Arabidopsis thaliana: one gene and its partner. The protein of the gene in region 2 interacts with the protein of the main gene of each other region in a pairwise test. Each region holds a gene or a part of one and is shown on either strand. Other genes may lie near its edges. The genes, in order: AT1G16500 and AT3G14100.

What was found.
Region 1: the proteins of AT3G14100 (region 2) and AT1G16500 interact in a two-hybrid assay, tested with the Arabidopsis thaliana proteins (one large-scale study listed by BioGRID).

What each region holds. Positions count from the first base shown.
Region 1 is NC_003070.9:5,636,984-5,640,844, reverse strand, and holds AT1G16500 (filamentous hemagglutinin transporter), read right to left. Parts: upstream 2,067-3,861; 5' UTR 1,767-2,066; coding exon 1,539-1,766; intron 1,402-1,538; coding exon 850-1,401; 3' UTR 643-849; downstream 1-642.
Region 2 is NC_003074.8:4,670,887-4,676,662, reverse strand, and holds AT3G14100 (RNA-binding (RRM/RBD/RNP motifs) family protein), read right to left. Parts: upstream 3,748-5,776; 5' UTR 3,637-3,747; coding exon 3,517-3,636; intron 3,140-3,516; coding exon 3,078-3,139; intron 2,990-3,077; coding exon 2,887-2,989; exon of another isoform or gene 2,699-2,886; coding exon 2,622-2,698; intron 2,536-2,621; coding exon 2,474-2,535; intron 2,391-2,473; coding exon 2,303-2,390; intron 2,206-2,302; coding exon 2,130-2,205; intron 2,034-2,129; coding exon 2,003-2,033; intron 1,763-2,002; coding exon 1,643-1,762; intron 1,502-1,642; coding exon 1,416-1,501; intron 1,290-1,415; coding exon 1,113-1,289; intron 995-1,112; coding exon 713-994; 3' UTR 501-712; downstream 1-500. Other genes in the region: FLU (Tetratricopeptide repeat (TPR)-like superfamily protein), read left to right, coding at 1-441; EXO70D3 (exocyst subunit exo70 family protein D3), read left to right, coding at 5,284-5,776.

The DNA of each region.
Region 1 (3,861 bases), on a different chromosome or scaffold from region 2:
CTCTATGTCTACGGTGAATTCGTCATACTCCACTTAATGTCATTGGGAACAAAAGATACTTGAAAATACTGAAACGTCATTAGATTACCTTAATGTAAATATTCCGTTACACTAAAATAAAAGAATCAAGCCAGATTGTTTAAGGCTGCAAGCGTGTGCATTTTGTATAAGAATATGATTTTCAAAATACTCCATCCGTTTCAAATACTAGATGTTGTGGAATATTTCTTCTCGTTTCAGAAATTAGATTTTTTTTTTCATTGAATGTTTTTTATTTTACCTTTTAGTTTACACCTAATTTAATACTAAAGAAATTTTCTAAATAATATGAATATACAAACAATGGTATACACTTTGTAATTGCAAATAAGTTTTTATACAGTATACATCATGTATAAAAACTAAACATATACTAAAATATATCTCGAAACAGAGAGAATAATAAAGTAACTTATATAAATTTCTCCAACTAACTTTGAACTAACCCGTGACTTAAGTTGCTTCCTTAATATGACAAATAAAAACATTGGGTTCTTTAAGATGCGGAATAAATACCAGTACAGTTGAAGTAAATATAATGAAATATGTTGACCAAATAATATAAGAGTATAATTTGGTTACCTCTTACTCTCTAGTAGTATCTAATTAATTAGAGCGTTTTTCAAATAATTAAAGATCAACTATTCATTCATCAGAGAAAATCCATTACATAACAATTTACAAAATAACATCCATCTCTTCCTTTCTGCATTTAATTTCTTTTCAATGAAACCCCCTGATTTTATCTATCATTTACAGAAATCGAACCTACAAAATAAAACCATTCAATTCTATCCCCCAAAGTTTTTTTCACATCGAAATGTTAAGATCAATCTTAGGCTTCTTCATGGCAGGCAAAGGAACAAACGAATGACACCTCGGGCATTTCGGATTGTTCTTTGCCACAAACACGTACGATAAGCACCCTGGACATCCAGCCGCCACCTGAGACGCCGCGACGGTGGCAGAAGCGGTTCCATCGTAAACGCCGTCATCTTCAGGAGATTGGCGTTTCTTTGTATCTTTCTCCGCCCTTTCCAAAGCCAATTTCACCTTATCTAGTGTGCAAACACTCGATAGATACGAGAGAGACTGATTTGGAGAAAAAGAAGACAGAGGAGGAGGAAGAGGACGAGAGATAGAAGACGGAACTAGCTTCAGTTCAAGGCTTGTGTCGTCGTCATCGTCGAAGAGGCTTAACAATGGTTTCGCCGGAAACTTATCGGAAATCGGTGGCACATTCAAATCTTGAAATCTTGGAACTGTTTGGTTGGTTTGGTCTTCGTGATGATGATGATGATGATGAGACGATGATGACGAGCTCGTTGAATTGCATTGTTGTTGCAGATACACTTTCCCTGACTGTTCAAAAAAATCACAACGAATCTATAAATCATTCAAATCTTTGGAAACCTCTCTGTTTTGTTAGTTTCTTATCTCCAAATTCTCTCGAGAACACGAAACTACAAAAATCAAGAAGAAAGAAAATAGCGACGAACCTTTAAGTCGAGACGTTTTTCCCATCCGTTAGGGACTTGGACGTCAAGGTCAAGCTCCAGCGACTGTTCGTCTCCTCCTCCTCCTCCACCCACACAACCGCCGATTCCGAGGAGATCGCGTGTCATGAGCGCCACCGTGGATCTTGGTCCGGTGGAATCTTTTACAACCGTCCGATCATCCTTGAACCTACTCAGTATCCGTACGAGAGAGCTGACGTCAGCAGCCATACCAAGAAAGCAGAGAGAAAGAGAGAGAGAGAGGGGAGGTCAGTTATGGGGTCTGTTAGGCAGAGAGAGAGTTATATAGATGGGGCCATTGTAAGAAAAACAGAGCCTTCTACTCTCAAAGTTAATTACGAGGACGGTTATAAGTAGTAAATTTATAGCCAATTAATTTCTTTCATTTATTGTGAATATACTAGGATACTTTTGTTTGCATGGAAATTCTTTATTGTTGTACCATCTTTTGTCTACCGTGAAAGATTTAATTTCATGTGTAATTTTGTATTCTACACCTTACAATCTGTGAAAGATAGTATATGAATCATTTCATATTTCATATTTTTGTCATACGTTTATAAACTGGAGATTGTACCCATTCCATTCATGCCTAAGTGGAAAAAGGCTAAGGTAAATATCATCAAACCCATAATTCAGAACTTTATGAATCATCTTTTTCATCGACGAACTAAACTTTCAAACTCTTTTTTTTGTTGTTGCCAACATAAGTATTAAATGAATAAATAAATAAGAGTAACAAATTAACAGCAAAAAGGCCAAAGAAAAGGTGTGGAGGGAGGAATTCAAGGAGGAAGCAGACACAAAGTGTAATAAATGCTAAGAAAATAAAACGCATTAAATGCATGGAAACTACAAGTAGATTCAAGCTTCTATCCATTAAATTACATATTTTACCCCTTGTCATACTCCTCTCTCTCTACTTGTTGTAATCATAATTTTCAAATTTTTCTTAGTCTTACGTTCAAATTCAATTAATTACTCAATTAACTACACGCATTGATGAACCATGTATTTAATGCACTTCGTCTTCTCTTTTTTATTGGGCACGTCAAAGATATTTAATGAAGTAGGTATTGGTACGAATGTGGTATTTAGAGTAAACCACCATTAGTATTATGTGTTTAACACCAATCTATATCCCTTTAGCAAAAAAGATAAAACAAGAACATATCCTTCATATATTTCTTGACTTTTCGAAATCTTATTAGAACCAAACTCTTACACATATTAAGGCCATAGGTTGGATATGTTTTTTATGTCCCCAATAATTTCAGCCACTATTCAGTCTGTCTATACCTATATTCTTTCTGTTGTTGCATACCTATATTCGACTATGGTGAATTAGTTTATATTTTAGAGTAAAATATATTTTTGTTGTGAGTTAAATTTTATGATTTATGAGTTTAGAATTTCAACTTTTATATTCATGGTATATTTTCTAAGAATTTAACGTTTGAAATTTAGAGTTAAGGATTTCAAGTTAACTGAAACAAAAAAAATTATACTACTATTGTTATAATTTGATATAAATTTAAATTATTTGATAATATTCATTTAATATAAAATTATAGAGAACTAAATTAAATAAAGTAACCGTTATAAGGCGTTAGAAAAAAACTTTTCAAGATTGTATTGTCTTTTTTAGAACCTTTGTCGATAATATATAATATGGACAACGATATTACCATTAAAATTTATAATGTTCTATTATCTTTTTAAAAATCCAAAATGTCATATACGTTTTTTGTCAATAATATATAATCTATACAATGATATTAACACAAACTGCTAATTTATCAGTCAAATTTATTATTTAAACTTACAACGTTCTATTACCTTTTGAAAAATTAAAATATCGTTTATTTTTTTGTCGATTTTATATAATACAAACGATATTAACACAAACAACCAACTTACTAGTTAAAATTTATAACGTTCTATTTTCAAATTTTAAAATCTAAAAATATCAGTATTTATGTTTTTTGTCAATAATATATAATACGTAATGATATCAACACAAACCATCAATTTACCGGTCAAAATTTATTATTCAAACTTGTAACGTTCTATTGTCTTTTTAAAATATAAGAATATCATTTATATTTATAATCTACAATATATATAAATAATATCAACATAAATCAGCAATTTACCAATTAATTTTTATTAATTAAATTTATAAGGAAAAGGTTTGATTATTATTATTATTATTATTTTAAAATATTTTTTAGGCTAGATTGTTGCATGGGCTCTTGACCACGTTTGACGTATCTTTCCGTCGGAGGTGGCAACGAACTTTTCC
Region 2 (5,776 bases):
GCCAAAATCGAGTCTTATGCACCAAGCTTGAGTTATGCTCCAGTGGGAGCAAGAATCCCAGATAGTGAAATCATTGTGGAACCAAAGAAACAAGAGTTGATTTCCAAGTTGAAAACAGGAAAAACCTTTCTTAGGAACCAAGAACCAGAGAAAGCTTATACAGAGTTCAAGATAGCTTTGGAACTTGCCCAGAGTCTCAAAGACCCCACCGAAGAAAAGAAGGCTGCAAGAGGCCTAGGCGCCTCGCTGCAGCGCCAAGGGAAGTATAGGGAAGCCATACAGTATCACTCCATGGTTCTAGCCATCTCAAAGAGGGAAAGTGAAGATTCTGGAATCACTGAAGCATATGGAGCTATTGCAGACTGTTATACCGAGCTGGGAGATCTCGAGAAAGCTGGAAAGTTCTATGATACGTACATTGCTCGGTTAGAGACTGACTGATCCTTCCGCAATGTTTTTTTCTTTGTTGTCTGTTTATGTTCATGTAAAATCACATAGAATGGATATCCAAATCCCTTTTATTGAATGTAATTCGCTTGTCTTACAATCCATGGGAATACATAACTAATCATACAACTGCAGATAAAACTTTATATAGATAACTTAAGTGAGAGACAAACAGACACACACAAACAAGTTCTAGACAAACAAAAAAAAAAGAGAAAAAGCAAAGAGATTGAAACTTGAGATCGGCGCCACGAACTGAGGTTTATTACTGATAGTACATGAGTTGCTGTGCGGCGGCTACATTCTGAAAGCCACCATCATACATGGCTGCAGTTGCTCCAGCGGCATTTATTCCATGAGCCTGCCTTAGAGGGTGTTGACCCTGTTGATGCATTAACGCATTCACACTTGCCATCTTGCTAAGTGCCAATTGCCTCTCATAGTTTAGGAGATCAGCTGCAGATAGACCAGGAACTGGAGCTGGGGCAGGTGGGGGAAGTGGGTTTGAGGCTGTACCTGGTGGAGTTGGCTTGTTTCCCCATGAGCACTACAATTAACATGATAACAAATGTCAGATTGCATGCTAAGTTTCAGATGAAGTAACTTTTGGGAGCAGTAAGATCAAATAGAGAGGGTTTAGAGTGGTAAGCCAAACTTAAAAGTACCTTTATCTGTCTGTTAAAGAGGTAAGGCTGAGTGTTACCCATCTGAATAGCAAGAGCAGCTTCGGGATGAGTGTTATATCTCACGAAACCAAAGCCTTTGTCTCGTTGGACACGGACCTCCTCAATAACTCCAGCGCCAAGAGCATGGAAGTAACGGTGTAGATCAAGCTGAGTTACCTGCAAGATAGATAGCTGTAACGATGTACCCGAAATCTACTAATGTAAAACTTCATCAAAGAACCTCAAATAAACTGTTTTTGTTGTGATAGTATTACAAGGAGCACTTCCTAGTGGATAATGTACCTCTGGAGCAAGGTTTCCCACATAAACAGTGGTAAACTGAGAATTATTTTCAGGTGTTTCCTCATTTAATGTCTCTTTACCATCCTCTGCACAATCAAACGACCAATATGGCTTTGTTAACTTAAAGTTTTTCATATTACTCAGGGAAAATCAATGTAGGTTCGTAAATTCCATTTGAGGAGAAGGAGAAAAAAACATAAGAATTTGCACAGTAATAGAAAGACAACCTGATGAGCCAGTTGTAAGTTCCACAACACTTTTTCCATCAGAACTGAGCTTATCATCACCAGAAGTAGCGCCCTTCGTGGCCCAGTTGCATCTGATTTGTCTGCTACTTAACCACTTACCTGAGAAGATGTGATAGAAACAAAGATTAATTGCTAAGAATAAAGAGAAAACCTCAATTTTAGATGACACTGAAACAGAAGTTATGCAACTTTCAGCAGCTCTTGACTAACAAATCAAGAAAACTTTCAGCAGGTCTTTCTAGGCACAGTATCATTCAGTTGCATGCAAATTCTAAGCACTTCAGAACAAGAAAGCATGAGAACGAAGTACTGAGATCTCAGCTACTATATAATCCTTACCATTCATCTCATTAATGGCAGTTTGAGCATCCTGCAAATGAAATCAACATTTAACATTAATGTAAACCACGAACAATCCTTGAGCTAAAACAAAAACTCACTGCATGATTTAAAGAATGTACATTACCTGTTGATTGCGGAAGGAAACAAACCCAAAGCCTCTCGAGCGCCCAGTTTTTTGGTCCCACATAACTCTCGCATCCCTTCAAAATATTAGACACAGTCAGAGATTATGATATTTGTTTTACAACCAAGTAGAATAAGTTAGTTAAAAGGAGCTGATCAAGCAACAGAACTTACGAACAACTGGAAAAGACAGAAAAGCTTTGATATAATGTTGCATCAGTGACCTCTGGACTGAGATCTCCAACAAAAATGTTGAAATGACCTGCAACTCATGGAAACTAAAACATTGAGTATCCTCAAAAACATACAAACAAAATGCAACACTTAAAAAAAGTCAAAACTTACTTGATGTATCTTCCCTCTGACCAGTGGCATACGCCCAATTGACTTTGATAGGCTGTCCAAACCTGTAAACTCGACGATTATAACCTAAACAAAAGCATTCGAACGATAAGAAGAGGAGAGGAAGGAAACTATGAAAATTGTTCCTTACAGATGCCTTCCGTTCAGAGACAGTATAGCCAGAGCAGCGGATCTTCGATCAAAGTAGTGAACAAATCCATATGATGACTGCAAATAAATAAAAAGATGCATGCTTTATGAGTCCATTTTTAGTAAGCAGCAAGTAGAGTAGTTTCCTTAAAGTATTAAAAATGTGCAATTGTTGAGGTATGCTCGTCCAAAACAAGAAAGCTACTATATAAGAGGGTCACTTTCACAATAAAGTAGAAATCAGGTGGATTTTAGAATCTAACTACCTTATCCTTTCTGATGAGTTTACTGCTTTCAACAGGGCCAGTGCTTGTAAAAATCTCTTGAAGCAAAGGCTCTGTGACCTGTGTATGGATGTTTCCAACATACCTGCCAATATTAGAATAATTGGAGAAGTTAAAACATAAACTCGGAACTGCACCTTTCAGACAAAGCGATGCTAAAAAAATTCACTCACACGCTACGGCAAGTACTGGGATCAAAACCAGGAGGAAGGTTTCCACTTGGAACAGGCTCTAACTGCAATTGCCAAAAGTAAGAAAGAAAGAAAATGAAAAGGATTGCAATTTCTTTTCTATCCCCATTAGAAAAGCACGAGAAGGTAAATATCAGCTCAATTTGGTAATGACGCAACAAAACTAAAACACAAAGACATCACAACAGATAAAAGGAACGAATTGCTAGCCTACAGGATCTGGAAACCCTAGCCATCCATTCAATCAAATGAGAAAAAGAAACACAGAATATGAACAAAAATTATCTTCAAATGAAGAACACAAACTAAACCCGACCCGGAATAAAAGGACTCACGAAAGAGACGACAGTACAAAAAAAAAAAAATCCAATTTCGACCAAAATTAGACACATCGAAGATGTAATAAAGGTAAAATAAAAACCTGAGGAGGAGCCAAAACACCAGGATGGTAAAGAGAGTGTTGCTGCATCAGAGCTTGTTGCTGCATCATAGCTTGTTGTTGTTGTTGCTGCTGATGTTGCTTCAGTCTCGGATTCTGCATTTTTTTTCCCCACTGATAAAAAGAAAGAAAGATATCTCTGTTTGTTTCTCCTAGACAATTTTTGATTTTCCTCCGCTAGGGTTCAGGTACTATATCGTTCACGAGATGAAGAAAGAAAAAAAAAAAAACTAACAAAAAAAAAAGAAAGAAAATAAAAAAAGAAAAAGGTAGAAAGAGAAAAAAAAAATCAGAGAGGAAAGAGAAAGAAGCTGTCCGTAGAAGATGAGAGGGACCGTGCGGCACAAGTGAACTATTTATAGCACGATTTATTTTATTGCTAATTTTCAGAGAACAAGTCAGGTGAAACTAACGTCACGGCACTGTGACAACCATTTTTAGTGACTGCCAATAATACTCCTTGTCCGTTCCTTATCTTACTGACAGCCCAGTCTTAGGCCCAAGCCCATATCTAAAGACGACGTCGTTTATCCTGCAGATATCAAAGGAGGACCAGTATTTCTGACTAACTTGTTCTGTGGACCCAAGCGTGTATATTGGATTAGTCCGGTCTTTGTGACTGATTAGATGAATTTATTTAAGGACTCAAATAAAATGAGGATTATTTTTTTGTGTGAAAGAGAAACAAATTGAGAACTGAAAAAGAAAATTGTATTATTATGATCTTGTATGTGAGATATATCAAATTTTCAATTTATTGTTAAGTTAACCTAATTGTTCAAACAATTCAATAACCTTAAATATTCATGACTACAACTTGTATTATCTCCTTTACTTAATCGGCTCGATTAAAATCAAGTATGGTCCACCAACCACATCTCATTATGAGGTTTGACAATCTACATTTATTTTCTCGACTATTCAAAAATATACAAAAAAAAAAAACATGTCCAAATTGGTACTCTCTTATCCGCAGGTAATTTGATTACATATACAAATTGATGTCCTTGCCATGCCAACATGGGCCAACCACGTCATAACATTTTAGGTAAACTATTTATAACAAAAATTATGTAAAGAAAAAATCCGAATTAGTAGCACAGAAACAACTACATTATTTTAGTTTATTGAAAGTATTGTATATTTGAAAATGTATATGTCATATATATATATATATATATATTTTTAGATAACTGAAAAAAAAAAGTTTCCAAAATTACTGGCTTAAGTGATCCCACTATGGAAATGAAAGATCATAATAAGACATGATGTGTGTCTTTTTTTTTATATCGAGAAAGTGGGACTTTGTTTTAGGCATAATAGCATTTATGACTAGATCTCACCCAATAATTCGACAAACCAAAAAAGTTTTTACCGGGCATTTTACGCCGCCGGCGAGTAATTCGGAATAAAAAAGTTTAAAATTTATCGGCAACGTACACACAAAGAGGAGTTGAAAAGTCCAAAGACTTATTTTTTCCGATTTCCCACCTCTCGCAGAAACTTCCAAAAATTAAAACTAAAAACAATACAAACAGACAGCTTTGCCTTTGCTAAGACTTCTTCCGATAAGCAAAAAAAAAAAAACCGAAGTGGTTTCTTACCAAAAAATCAACCAATCTCCTTCACGAATTTCCATCTGAGAAGAATTTGAATCGGTGGAGGTGAGAATCATTCATTGGCTTTCGAATTTTGAAGTTTTCTTTATACTGTTTTTGATTTTTTGTTGTTGTCTGATTGATTTATTAGATGGAACCGCCGGAGAATAGTTTAGATTCCGATGGTTCGAACTTAGAGACAGCGGAGAGGATAATACTCCGGTGGGACTCAGCAGCGACTGATGGAGCAAGAGGGAAGATGATTTTCCAAAGCGATCGTGATGAGGTGGATCGGTTTCTTCGAGCCGTTGATGAAATCCAACGGTCCTTATCTTCTGTCTCTTTCTCTTCTTCTTCCTCCTCCGCCGCCACCTCCGCCGCCACCGTAGTCGATGAACACGAGGTCAAAGCCAACTCAGCTATTCAAATCGCTATGGCTAGACTCGAAGACGAGTTCCGTAACATTCTTCTCTCCCACACAACTACTTTCGAGCCTGATTCACTTTTCCTCGAGGAACCATCAGTCTCTCCGTCTTTAACCGTCGAAGTTGGAGAAGATACCACCGTAACTCCCGAAGAAGAAGAATTAAATTCTCCAGGTGGTTCCGGTTCAAGCCGGTTAACTCGTAGAAGAAGCAGTTACA